Schizosaccharomyces pombe: one gene and its partners. Changing the gene in region 1 together with any one later gene gives a genetic interaction. Each region holds a gene or a part of one and is shown in the gene's direction. Other genes may lie near its edges.

Evidence for each region.
Region 2: of nab2 (region 1) and prp1, changing one suppresses a phenotype caused by changing the other (phenotypic suppression), as found in Schizosaccharomyces pombe (one study listed by BioGRID).
Region 3: of nab2 (region 1) and prp2, changing one suppresses a phenotype caused by changing the other (phenotypic suppression), as found in Schizosaccharomyces pombe (one study listed by BioGRID).

Annotation. Positions count from the first base shown.
Region 1 is NC_003424.3:5,237,764-5,242,174, reverse strand, and holds nab2 (poly(A)-binding protein Nab2), read left to right. Parts: upstream 1-1,956; 5' UTR 1,957-2,357; coding exon 2,358-2,939; exon of another isoform or gene 2,940-2,982; coding exon 2,983-3,081; intron 3,082-3,127; coding exon 3,128-3,370; 3' UTR 3,371-3,849; downstream 3,850-4,411. Other genes in the region: SPOM_SPAC14C4.07 (transporter), read right to left, coding at 1-1,383; LEM domain-containing protein Man1, read left to right, coding at 3,857-4,411. UniProt on the Schizosaccharomyces pombe protein: RNA-binding protein involved in RNA processing. Acts as a regulator of mRNA stability: binds to mRNAs and pre-mRNAs, preventing their degradation.
Region 2 is NC_003423.3:2,639,886-2,645,407, forward strand, and holds prp1 (U4/U6 x U5 tri-snRNP complex subunit Prp1), read left to right. Parts: upstream 1-2,035; 5' UTR 2,036-2,104; coding exon 2,105-4,825; 3' UTR 4,826-5,012; downstream 5,013-5,522. Other genes in the region: ubiquitin hydrolase Ubp14, read right to left, coding at 29-124; ofd1 (2-oxoglutarate and Fe(2+) dioxygenase domain-containing protein 1), read right to left, coding at 5,161-5,522. UniProt on the Schizosaccharomyces pombe protein: Involved in pre-mRNA splicing. Interacts with prp6 and prp13. May also be involved in the regulation of the G0-G1/G2 transition. Required for pre-spliceosome formation, which is the first step of pre-mRNA splicing. This protein is associated with snRNP U5.
Region 3 is NC_003423.3:1,011,276-1,015,689, forward strand, and holds prp2 (U2 small nuclear RNA auxiliary factor small subunit, U2AF-59), read left to right. Parts: upstream 1-2,034; 5' UTR 2,035-2,279; coding exon 2,280-3,833; 3' UTR 3,834-3,904; downstream 3,905-4,414. Other genes in the region: fan1 (fanconi-associated nuclease 1), read right to left, coding at 1-1,437; tif1102 (translation initiation factor eIF1A-like), read right to left, coding at 4,057-4,141, 4,194-4,414. UniProt on the Schizosaccharomyces pombe protein: Necessary for the splicing of pre-mRNA. The SF1-U2AF59-U2AF23 complex has a role in the recognition of the branch site (5'-UACUAAC-3'), the pyrimidine tract and the 3'-splice site at the 3'-end of introns.

The DNA of each region.
Region 1 (4,411 bases):
TTTTTCGATAACTTTAGAAAGTAAAGGGAATAGCGCAACTAATGTGATTGAACTAGCAAAAGAGTCGGTGGATAATATTAAGCTAGCCTTCATTGGACCCCAGCCAAATTTATAGTCCGTATAAAGCGGCAATAAGCCCATTGAACCAGCGCCGAGTAAAGTTAAAGATATCAATATTGCTGCAAGTAACACGTCCCAGTGTCTTCTTCCTGCATGGGTATCAGCATTAATATCGTACTGATGGAATTCGCATGATTCCTCTGTACATAAACTTCGAGGCCAAAGAATTATAAGTGGCTCAAGGCATGATCTCCATATCGAGGAAAATCCAGATATTTTATTCTGCTGCTCTTTACTTTCCGAAACATCTAGGCTTTCTGGAAGTATCAACCAAACGTAAAGTAAATAAATAATCCAAAAAGTTGAAGTAATATAAAATACATAATACATATGAGGAGTGTATTGCACAATGAATCCGCTTAAACTAGGTCCCAAAGCGGTTCCTAGATGGTAAGCAGCAAAATTTAATCCTAAATACCATGCACGAAACTCGGTCTTAGAACAATCTGCAACAAAGGAATTTTGGCTGGCTACAACGGTAGAAATATAACCGCCTAAGCCTTTCAAGGCAGCAGCAAAAAGAACAAAATATGGATGCTTGGGGGCATAGGACTGATATAAAAGCCATAAATCACCAAGCAGCAAAAATGAGACGGTAATGAAAAGTACAAGGCGGCGACCATAAATATCCCCCATTGTTCCATAATAAGCGGTGGAAAAAAGACCTAAAAAGGCGGCTAAAGAGCCAAAAGCGGCACGGACTTTTGAAACACCAGTAGTAATTTCCGCTAGTCGGCATATTGGGTCATCTGGGGACAACTGTGTAGGATCAAGGTTATAATGAATGGCACATAGTTCCTGTCGAAGTAAAAAGAGCAGAGGTATTTCAATCATGCCCCAAGAAAAGGCATTAATAAAGTTTAATGGAAGAATCAAAAGTGGAGATAAAGAACGTCTTCTGGCGATTTCACGACAACAGTTATCATTGTTACATATAGATTCATTATTATGATGAGAATTAGATGAATCTGGTTCATTGAAAGAGATGGGTTCATTAGAATTGGAGGTAGAGTCGTAATTTTTAGGCTTCGCCTTAAATGAGTCATGCGAGCTTGACTTTGCAACGTTATTATTGCTTGAACTGGCACCATTGGTTTCATGCTTTAATGAATGAGAATTACCGTTGCATGCAGAACCTTTAGCTTGCAAAGGACAATCAGAACAGTATTCTCTTTCTGGTGAAGGAGTTCTGGATCGAAAGGGCTTGTTCACTGACGGATCGGAAATTAGTAATGGAGTATGATCATCATCGTGTGAAGACATTTGTAGCTCCTTCTCAAAATGGTGGGTACGCTGATAAAATAGAATGTAAATTATAACCCAAATACTCTTCTACTCGAAATGTTCGCAATAATCAATTAACTCGTTGCCCTCAAACTGCAGCATCAATTGTAAAATTCCTTGCACCTATATCCTAAAAATTTTTCTATATGCAATATATACGTTTCACAACGTTTTCGATTTCGAGATAATTAGAAGACTTTAGGTAGTTGGTGCTACTAAGAAGGTTGAGAACCGAAGGAAAATATTTGCTCGAGAAAGTAATTTTGAACTACTAGTTACTATGAAGAAATAACTATATTCCAAAATGACAATGCAATGTAATTGCTTTGTAGTTGGCTAAGCCTTTAGATGTATATATATTAGACGCTTAGATTCTGGACTAGTTTAATTAATGCTGTTACGTTGTGGCGTTATAGTGTCATCGTTAGTCGTTGAATAGTTCTTATAGTGAAATTGGGTATAATATTCGAAAAAAAATTAGCAAACTCGCTATTTTATGCTATTTATTAATTCTTTCTGTTCTTACTGTGAAAGATATTTCTTATATTCCACTTACGTTTGAACTGAGGCTCTTGCTGTATTTTAACTTACGGCTTGCAGTATCAATATAACTATTGCTACTAGAAATTACCTTTAGTCTACGTATTCCATTGAAGCTCTCCGAACGCATCATCTATAGGAAGTTTATTTCTTTTGGAACGGCAAATTTGCCAACTTCTTGTCTGTGAACATATTTTTGTGATTGTATTCTTTCTTCTCAATTCCTTTATTTCATGCTAAGTTGAGCTATTTGATTTCATTTTAGAGCATATACCGGTACATAACTTATTAAATTCTGATTCCATAACAGGAGTGGAATTGATTTACTAATTCTCGGAGTACATTTATTGTAAATTTGAGCATCTCTATTATTTTGGCTTATTTTAGTTAATTATTGACTGTAAACCAACAACATGACTACATTACTGGAAACACCTGGATATAGTGAAAAACTTCATGATTCGATTGAAAAAAAACTTTCTGAATATGGGTGGGGAGAAGAGGCTGCTTCTCTGGCCGATTTTGTTCTTGTGATGCTTAGCAATGGAAAAACACAAACTGAAATTAATGAAGAACTAGTTGATTTAATAGGGTCCGATTTTGATACTAGCTTCTCACTTTGGTTATTTAATCAAATTGAAGAGCTTGAAAAATCAAAAAATGCTTCAGTTGAGTCAGTCAGCAAGATCGACGAAATCGATTTTATCGAGAAGGAGTCAACTGACAAGTCGCAGCAATCTTTCTCTGTGCCGGAAACTAGCATACAACCTCAATCTTCTCAAACTCCTAATATAACTTCGTTACGTGAAGAGAAGGAGCTACCTACTGGGCGTGTCGGACAAAAGCTCAAACTTACATCTCAGAAACAGCGATTCAATCCCATGGCAGCTTCGTTTAACTACTCGAAATCCGTTATGCCTGCTGCCAAGCGTGCTCTCACTCAAACCCAAGAGGTCCCTTTGTGCAAATATGCCGATAAGTGCTCCCGTGCTAACGTATGTATTAATATCAGATAATTTGTTAAAACTAACTCTTTAGTGTATATTTGCTCATCCGACACCAGCCGCAGCCCCAGGAGAAGGTATGGTCCTGAGCAGTGAAATGTGTGCTTCTGGTAAAGAATGCAAAGCTGCTGATGTAAGTACCATAATAATTTAAATCTAACTATTACTAACGTATACAGTGTGTCAAGGGACATCCATCTCCAGCTACGGTTACTACATTACCACCTTTCATGTCCATGTCAACCATTCCAATTCCTTGTAAATATAAACCGTGTTTGAATCCAGCTTGTCGTTTTATCCACCCGACGAAAAGCAGAAATATGACATGGCGGCCACCCTCTAAAACAGAAGAGACGTCCCTGAGTGAACGTTCGTTTGCTGTTAACGAGTCAGAAGAACAACTTCATGTTCCTTCTGTGTAAATTTAGAGAATTATGATACTATTTCGTGTTCGTATAATTGGCACATATCTACTTTTGATAGTCAAGCCAGGATACTTCGTTTAAGAACATACCTTCTAGAGTTTGCAAACTTGATATTTATTTTATTGTATAGATTGCTAAAACGATAAAGTTTTATTTGTCGCTACGTTTGCTGCAATCGGCAATTATCAAGTCGCTAAATTGATTTAAAAAATTTGTTTTCGTTATATTGATGTCTTTTTAGTGAATGAAAATTTTATTTTGATGTGAATTATGCAAATAATGATTTATTTACTTCTTCGGTTAAGTTAATATTATACATATTCAAATACCCACGTTTGTTGACATTCATTACTAAATACATCTTATGTTACTTGTTGGTTACTTGGCTTACACCATGTTGTTGACAACAATCACTTGGTATTTACATTCGCCAGTTTTACGTCTATACACATACCCTTTAGTTAAAAGGTTTTTTTTAATTGAATGGAGGTCCCTTCTTATTTTGACCCCGATTATGATCCTTCGTCTCTTCGAGTAGTAGATTTGCGTAATATATTAACTGAATATCAAATATACTATCCGTCAACGGCGAAGAAAGCGCAGTTAATCACGCTTTTCAGTAAACTACGAAGGGCAAAAAATGGCTTGATCTCTATGACAGAATTGCAGCAAAAGAACGTTCCTCCGTCTTCTCGTAGTCCTCGTAGAAGGGTGGCAGGGGTTACGAATAATGTTACTGCTCGAATTAGCTCTAAGAGAAAAATAAATATGGTTGACGAGGCTAATGATACAGAAATTTCTAAAACTTCACAATTTGAAGATAATGTGATGGGGATGTTACAGGACGAGAACGTTCAAGTTTTGAATACTAACACGATAACCATTTCAGAAGAATCTGAATTTCATGCCTCAAAGATTGCCAAAATAGATTCGCGAAACGAAGAAATAACACATATACCATTTGAGACGCAAACTGAGCTTAATGCGGCAGTTGTAAACCTCGACAACTCAATGGAATCGTCTTTTTCAATTGTCCAG
Region 2 (5,522 bases), on another chromosome or scaffold:
TTTAAAACAAGCTATTTAAAAAACATACCTGCGAATTAAAGCAACGGACGCATTCTTCACGATATATTACCTGAGAATTATCTGGGATTACAACGTTTGTCTCTGTGAGGTGCGGACACGACATGGGTTGCTATAGGTGTTTATGGATGGATGGACATGAGGTAGGCAGAATATTAACATTAGTTAATAATATACGTGCATCTTGTTGATTAACGTATCGCTACAACTAAAATACCATCATGTTTTACAGAGGGCTTAATTAATACTCCTAATCCTGCATACCAAACTCTTATTAATTCGTTTAATTATAAACTAAATTGCAGTACGTTACAGTACTGCAACGAGTAATATCATTATAACTCAATTTTCCTTGTTTGTAGAACTCCAGAGGTCCAATAATTGAACATCCTGGGGTTATTCTTTTTATTGTGTAAATAAATTAAAAACCAAGAATACTGTGCATGAACTATTACCATATTTAGACTTCCGAGTGCAGATGTATGCTGTCGAGTCTACCTATACTGCTGATTAGATATTGCTTATTAAAACAACATTTGTATCATTTCCTGTAAGCTTGCATTTTTATATTGAATATTCGAATAGAATACTCATTGCTGTATCCATGTATTAACGCAACAGTGGACAGCGTAAATAACATTGGCATATATAATGTTATCAAGCAGGAGATTTGTAGAAACAGCTTATTTACACAGTCTTAAAATAACAATAGTTAATTAATATTTCTTGAATTTTTTTTATGATAAGTGAAAATCCACACATCAGATTCTACTATACTCACTCAAGTTGTAAACAGATGGTTAATATACGCTGTATTTATTAAAATATCATTCTGAATATATCATTATCATTTACACAGGTACTCCTGAAATTTATAATATTAAAAAAAAAAAAAAAAAAAGAGAAAAAGATACAGCTAGATTAGCTGCCGTATTTTCTTTAAACCAAATTTATTTACACACTACATACATAATTCATGCCTATATTTATAAATGGAATAAAATAGAACAATTTTAATACCCAAAATTAACCTGGAAAAGCTAAGTTAAAAATGAAACGAGCCATATATATTGCCGATTATTATCATATTTTGATATCAGTGTTTTGCAGATGATTCTAATCTAACATATCTGAATCTTTTATTCTTTTTTGTGAAACTGACTTGCTTGCATCTTATGGCTGGAGTCAGTATAAATTTCTTAGAACTTATCAATCCAACGAATATACTTCTAAAAGATATTACATTAGCCTTGCACAACCTGCAGTTATAATCAAAACACTTAATCAACGTAGCTCAAGCATGTCTATTTAAGATGTTAAATATGTTTTGGTAAATTACTTTGCAAATAAAATTCTAAATACAATGGTTTGGCATTATGATAAAGAATAAGACAATTTACAAGCGAAAATAAATTTGACTGATGTGTCCAGGTACACTCATACTAGATACGATGAGCATTGATTTGAAACACCAGTATAATATACCGAGACATTAAAAGACAAACGTAGTGGCCATGCAAAAATATTGCTGCAACGTCTGTCCAGTTATCACTCGGATTCAATTAAGATTTGTTTAATTCCAATACTCACAAAGCTTGTGATGAACAATATTTTTCGTAATTTCAACCGTTCTGCATACTTTACACGACATTGATTTACAAAGTGTAAATTCATCTTCAAAGAAAAGTAGGAAAATAAAAGAAAGGAAGAAAACACTGTTCATGCATTTTTTCAAAATTGTTGCAAAAAATCTAATAAATTTATTTGGCTATCAAATGCTAAATCATAAATACTCGTGTGTTAGCGGTTCAGTGTATAACAAGTCAATCACAATGCTTATTTATATATCGTTTGATTGTAAAATCATTACATACAGTAGGAAATTTATTTTGTTTAAGAAATATTCTATCTTAAGTTTTTCTAAATTTACTTTTACCTAATGGCTCTTTTTAACTTTGTTGTAGTAAAGCTGCTAGGAGTTAATTTCTCTTCTTCGTATTGCCTACTTTTAAAATTTGAAAGCCACTACCAGATATTTATAAAGCCGAAAGGCTCGGCTTATTGCATTTAATTGCAGATAATTAGAATGGCAAACTTTTATCCAGATTTTCTGAATATGCAGCCACCTCCTAACTATGTAGCAGGTTTAGGACGTGGTGCAACAGGATTTACAACGCGTTCAGATCTTGGGCCTGCTCAAGAATTGCCATCCCAAGAATCTATAAAGGCTGCAATTGAACAAAGGAAATCAGAAATAGAGGAAGAAGAAGATATCGATCCTCGTTATCAGGATCCTGACAATGAAGTAGCGCTGTTTGCTACTGCTCCATATGATCATGAGGACGAAGAAGCTGATAAAATATATCAATCTGTAGAGGAACATTTAAGTAAAAGAAGAAAATCCCAACGTGAAAAACAAGAACAGCTACAGAAAGAAAAATATGAAAAAGAAAACCCCAAGGTTTCTTCACAATTTGCGGACTTAAAACGTGGGTTATCCACTTTGACAGATGAAGACTGGAATAATATCCCAGAACCCGGCGATCTAACTCGTAAAAAAAGGACTAAACAGCCGAGACGTGAAAGATTTTATGCAACAAGTGATTTTGTTCTTGCAAGTGCTCGCAATGAAAATCAAGCTATCTCTAATTTTGCAGTGGATACTCAAGCAGGAACAGAAACTCCAGATATGAATGGGACAAAAACAAATTTTGTTGAAATTGGAGCTGCTCGTGACAAAGTTTTAGGTATCAAGTTAGCACAAGCTTCGTCGAATTTGACTTCACCATCGACTATAGATCCGAAGGGGTATTTAACTAGTCTGAATAGTATGGTTCCAAAAAATGCCAATGACCTGGGTGATATAAGAAAAGCTAGAAAATTGTTGCAAAGTGTTATTGAAACGAATCCAAAGCACGCCTCTGGCTGGGTAGCTGCTGCGCGGCTTGAAGAGGTCGCGAATAAATTATCTCAAGCACAATCTTTAATTTTAAAAGGTTGCGAAAATTGTTCTCGCTCTGAGGATGTTTGGCTAGAAGCAATACGACTACACCCGGCTGCAGAAGCAAAAGTTATTATTGCAAATGCCGTTAAAAAATTACCAAAGTCAGTGACGTTATGGCTTGAAGCCGAAAAACTTGAAAATCAAGCTCAGCACAAAAAAAGGATTATAAAAAAAGCTTTAGAATTTAACCCGACTTCTGTAAGCTTATGGAAAGAAGCTGTAAATTTAGAAGAAGAAGTGGATAATGCAAGGATACTATTAGCTCGTGCCGTTGAATTAATACCCATGTCCATTGATTTATGGTTAGCTCTTGCTCGACTTGAAACTTATGAGAATGCTAAAAAGGTGCTCAATAAAGCCAGACAAACCATCCGTACTTCCCATGAGGTTTGGATTGCTGCTGCTCGTTTGGAAGAACAGCAAGGTAATGTATCACGGGTGGAAAAAATAATGGCTCGTGGTGTAAGTGAGTTACAGGCTACTGGTGGTATGTTACAACGCGATCAGTGGCTTTCCGAGGCTGAAAAATGCGAAACTGAAGGGGCAGTGATTACTGCACAAGCTATAATTAATACGTGCCTCGGTGTTGGATTGGATGAAGAAGATCAATTCGACACCTGGTTAGATGATGCTCAATCTTTTATAGCTCGTAAATGTATAGATTGTGCGCGTGCTGTTTTTGCTTTTTCTTTAAGAGTCTATCCAAAAAGTGAGAAACTTTGGCTGAGAGCTGTTGAACTTGAAAAGCTGTATGGTACAACAGAAAGTGTTTGTTCTATTTTAGAAAAAGCTGTAGAATCATGTCCTAAAGCCGAAATTTTATGGTTGCTTTATGCTAAAGAGCGAAAAAACGTTAATGATATTGCTGGTGCTCGGAATATTCTTGGGAGAGCTTTTGAATATAATTCTAATAGCGAAGAGATATGGCTTGCTGCTGTCAGAATTGAATTTGTGAACAATGAAAATGAACGTGCCAGAAAGCTACTTGCCCGTGCTCGTATCGAATCGGGAACTGAACGAATATGGACTAAATCCATTTCGCTTGAACGAATTTTGGACGAAAAAGATCGGGCGTTACAACTTTTGGAAAATGCACTGAAAATTTATCCCCATTATGATAAGTTGTACATGATGAAGGGTCAAATTTTTGAAGATAAAGAGCAGATTGAGCTTGCTCGAGACGCATACTTGGCTGGCACAAAAGTTTGTCCTTATTCCATACCTTTGTGGCTTTTGCTAGCCAAACTTGAAGAAAAGCAGTCCGTTATACGCGCGAGAGTTGTGTTTGATAGGGCTAAGGTTAAAAATCCTAAGAATGAATTTTTATGGCTTGAACTTATAAAAATGGAACTCCGGGCGGGGAATATTTCACAAGTTCGTGCAGCCCTTGCTAAGGCCTTGCAGGAATGCCCATCTTCGGGTTTGCTGTGGACGGAGGCTATATGGCTTGAACCTCGCGCACAGCGTAAAACTCGTGCTACAGATGCTTTAAGGAAATGTGAAGGCAATGCACATTTACTTTGCACCATCGCCAGGATGCTGTGGCTGGAAAAAAAAGCAGATAAGGCGCGTAGTTGGTTTTTAAAAGCTGTTAAGGCTGACCAAGATAACGGAGATGTGTGGTGTTGGTTTTATAAGTATAGCTTAGAGGCTGGGAACGAAGACCAACAGAAAGAAGTGCTTACAAGTTTTGAAACCGCTGATCCTCATCATGGTTATTTTTGGCCCAGTATTACTAAAGATATCAAAAATTCTCGGAAAACTCCGCAGGAACTATTACATCTTGCCATAAATGTGTTATGATTACGACAAAAATGATGACTGTAACATATTGGATCTATTATTTATCTTAAAATTAATGTTTAAATTGGTATTCGAATTTACTTTAGATATTTGTAAATTTACGGACTTTTTAATAAAAAAGAACGATTTTTAAACAGGTTCGATTGAACACTTACTTTAAATCAACAAGAATACCAGTTAAGAAAGCAGTAAAAGTGTAAACCAAAACTTTTTATGTAATACACACTATCAACACGAAAGTGGGTTTTAAAAAACACAAGGGAAAAACTTTCAAAAATAAGACAAAAAATTAGAGAAAAAAAAATTAAGTAACCCCTTTTAAGTATATGTTGCCTTTACTCAGCAACGGGATTCCATTGTGAATATATATCCCAGCGACTAGATTCGGCTTGACGCGACACATATTTGACAAATTGAAGGACACCTTCATCTCTATAAACCAAAGAAAAAACATTCCAAGCGGCTGGCAAAGAAAGCAAAATACTGTCATCTTGCTGATCACCCCTATACACAGCAGCATCTACATCAGGATCTTCATCGCCAATCATATAAATATCATATGCACCATTGTCAGTATTCGCAATGCCTGTCCCCGGAGATAAGCAAAGAGTAGCTTCTAGTAAAGCTGTGTCATTCGTAGTAGCAAGCGTAAAATCGGAACCAGGGCGGAATCGTCGACCAACTTGATGAAAGGAAC
Region 3 (4,414 bases), on another chromosome or scaffold:
AGGATTATTATTTATAAGTTTCATGCTTTTTAATTCGGTAGTATTAGAGACTTTTAAACACTTCCGTAAGCGAACAAGTCTCCTTTGTAAGCTAAAGTAATATCTGAGGTGGGTATACTTGTCTTCAATACCATTTTCACAAGTTGATAAAGCAAGCGTTTTCCAATAACGCAAAACGTTAGTATCCTCAGTTTTAAAGTTGTATTCCAGTAAGGCTTTTCTATTATACCAATGTCCTCTTTTACCCACCAAATATATATTTTGAGATAAAAGGGTATCTAATATTTCATGTTCAACCTCAACTAATCGCGACTTCGCGAGAATATTTAGACTTTTATGTATTAAGTATGTGTAAACAGCACCAGGACGAAAGCTAAAAGAAAACCTTACCAATCGAGTATCTACTTTTCTATTTTCTTCCACCCAAAATTCCCTAATGTCTTCATTTAGATATGTCGACCATATAGGATATATTTCAAAAAAACTGTTCAACGCTTGTTCGAGTGCTTCCTTATCCGAAGCGGCAGTGTTTTCAAAGATTGGAACCAAGTTTTTTGAAAGTTCTAAAACCTCAACGTATTCAAGGCATTGAGCACGACAATTAAAGACGTTTGAAGTTCGCGATAAAACGTAATTCGGGTAGGAAAATTTGTTAAGGCGTGCTAATATTAAAGACGTAAGCGATTGTTCATCATAAATGGACGAACGAAAGTACACAATATTAATTCGATGAAATAGGTCTACTAAAATTTTCTTTGGTTTCACACAGGATTTGCATTGATATAATAGTTGCTTCCGAAGAAACGACTCTTGCTTATGCATCACACCAAAAGCATCAAAGGACAAAAATTGTTGACCATTACAATGTAGTACTGATTGTCTTTTAGATAGGAAAATGATTTCTTTTGAAATTTCAGACCTGCTTTTTCCACACACCTTCGTTTGTCTAGCTAACGAACGCAATTCATCGAGAGATAGAATTTCAATTATTTCTTCAGTTGACATGAGTGATTCATCTTCAAAAAAATTTTTCAGAACAAGCTGCTTACAGCAGGCAATAACATCCTTGCAATCTGGATAAGTCAAATGGCCCACGCGGAACCATTTATTTCTTTTACGCATGAATAGACGAACAAACAAGTACCGTTCATCCGAGTCTAAAGCTTTAAAGTTTTCAATAACCCTCAACTCATCATCAGTAAAGATATGCGGTTCACAATCGAGGACGGTGTTTAGGATTTCTTCGAACCCCAGCAGATACATTGAATTTTTAGTAGAATATACATTGTGCTTATTAGTATTGGCAACTTGTCCTTTAACTGTTGTCTCTGGTGCTTGACATACAACTTTTAAGGGAGGGAAACATAACTTGTTCTCGTTTACCCCAGATTTATCTGGAGTGTTTATGTCGCACGCTTCATTAAAGAATCGTTTCATGAATTTTTAGATATCACAGCAGCGCGACTGAATAAGTGCACAAGATGATGGCCGTAAGTAAACAAATATTTAAAAAAAAGAGCGGCTTTTACAACAATGGAAAGCTAGTATGAAAATAAATAATAATAAATTTTGAATGAATGTAAACGTCTTCTTGTGTAATAAAGTAAATTTTTAAAAGATTGAACATACAATTTAAGAGCATGGATTTCAAGGATAAAATGAGACAAACATTAAATCTATCGTGGATGTACTGGCAAAAAAAAAACGAAAATTATTGAATTTCATGGCAGCTGTAAATTTTTAAAGATTGCTTTAAAAGAAAGCCATACAATCAAATACTATGGTCAAAAGAGAAAAATTCGTTAAAACTTAGGAGAATGGTACTAGGGTAAGGACAACAGTTTAAATAAATGCTTTTGAAAATTTAACTGCATTCGTAAGTTACAGTGTTGTCTATAATGCAAGTTTAGCGAAAGTTGCTATTTGAAACTAAAAAGAAAATGTAAGTCAACAACGTTGTGCTTAAAATTACGACGCTGGCGAAGTTACTACAAACTCTCACTACCTTAACTTAGTAAGTCGAAACTTTTGACTAACCTTGGGCGTATCACATAAAGAAAAAATAAGTTAATTATTATTGTTCATGTTATAAATTTTTTTTAGCAAGGAATCCAAGAGCATTGACGCGCATATCATTTCATTAGAATTTGTACTTTTGTATTCCCTACTTTCATCAAAGTTTTTTCCGGAGAATTTAAGAGTTCATTTTAATAAACGAATTTCTTCCCTCCCTTCTTTTTTGAATAATTTTTTAAATAGCCTCATATTCATTCACTAACATGGATTTGTCTTCCAGATTATCATCAGGTTCTTCACGGATACCCAAGCGACACAGAGATTATCGCGATGAAGAACCTAGACGAGAAAGAGGTTCGGGTGGGATAGGAAGGGAAGACCCGAGAGGCCATTATGGCTCTGAACGACCTAGAAGACGTCGCCGAGACGAAAGTGATTTTCGTAGACATAGAGAATCTCGTGAAAGAAGTTATCGAGAGGATGAGAGGCCAAGAAGAGAAAGAAGATATGATGATTATGAGCCTCGATCATTACGTTATTCATCTGTCGGAAGAAGTAGAAGTCCACCTCCCAGCCGAGAAAGAAGCGTAAGGTCTATCGAACAGGAACTCGAACAATTGAGAGATGTAACACCAATAAATCAGTGGAAAAGGAAGCGCTCTTTATGGGACATTAAACCACCTGGTTATGAATTGGTTACTGCTGACCAGGCGAAAATGTCTGGTGTTTTTCCTTTGCCAGGCGCTCCTAGAGCTGCAGTTACTGATCCAGAGAAATTGCTAGAATTTGCTCGCTCTGCGGAAGGAAGTATTATTGCTCCCCCTCCGCCCTTACAACCAGGTGCTAGCAGACAGGCTCGTCGACTAGTGGTTACTGGAATTCCTAACGAATTCGTTGAAGATGCTTTTGTATCATTTATCGAAGATCTATTTATTTCAACTACATACCATAAACCCGAGACAAAGCATTTCTCCTCTGTCAACGTCTGTAAAGAAGAAAACTTTGCTATTCTTGAGGTCGCTACTCCTGAAGATGCCACCTTCCTCTGGGGGCTTCAGTCCGAATCATATTCTAATGATGTCTTTTTAAAATTTCAAAGAATTCAAAATTACATCGTCCCTCAAATTACCCCCGAAGTTTCTCAAAAAAGAAGTGATGATTATGCCAAGAACGACGTTTTAGATTCAAAAGACAAAATTTACATTTCAAATTTACCTTTAAATTTAGGCGAAGATCAAGTGGTGGAGCTACTTAAGCCTTTCGGTGATTTATTAAGCTTTCAATTGATAAAAAATATTGCAGATGGATCTTCGAAGGGTTTTTGTTTTTGCGAATTTAAAAATCCTTCTGATGCGGAAGTAGCTATCAGCGGTCTTGATGGTAAAGATACGTATGGGAACAAGTTACACGCACAATTTGCTTGTGTAGGTCTCAATCAAGCTATGATAGATAAGTCTAATGGAATGGCCATTTTGACAGAACTTGCTAAGGCGTCATCACAATCTATTCCAACTAGAGTCTTACAATTACATAATTTAATTACTGGGGACGAAATTATGGATGTACAAGAATATGAAGACATATATGAGTCTGTAAAGACCCAATTTTCGAATTATGGACCACTTATAGATATAAAAATTCCTCGTAGTATTGGCACTAGAAACTCGGGATTAGGAACTGGAAAGGTTTTTGTACGATACTCCGATATCAGATCTGCAGAGGTCGCAATGGAAGAGATGAAAGGTTGTAAATTTAATGATCGCACGATTGTCATTGCTTTTTATGGTGAGGATTGCTATAAAGCTAATGCATGGTGATTTCAGTTTCAATGAAAAGGTTAGTATAATATCTTAATGTTAGGGTAATAATATCAGTATTTCTCATTGGATTGTTTAAAGTGTAACAAAGTACTCAATTGTAATGAGCGATTGTGGGATGAAGTAATTCTTGCAAGCATTTCCCGTTATACGCTTTTTATCATCGGTTTAATTTACAAGGTTCGTTGTAAGGATTCTTAATATATGTATTTTTTGTAAATTGTTAGTCACTATCGTATTCTTCCTCGCTACTGCTGCTTTCCTCAGAATCGTTTTGATTTAACGATTCATCTGCAAACTCTTTAGGCCTTTAAACTAGTTAGCACAATCATCTAATGTTATTTCAAGAGAATTTCTTACCAATAAATTTGTTTTTTCCAATTTTTTAAAGGGCTTTGTACCACGTACAATATAGTACCGTCAATTTTATTGTCCTTCTCTAAAAACTCAGATTTATCAACTATTACAAACCCATTTCTCCTAACCCATATTTTATTACGATACTTTGGAGGCATCTCAACAAGTAATTCCTGTCCATTGTTTTCTACTACCATAAAAAGCGCAGATCCTTTAAGTTGCAC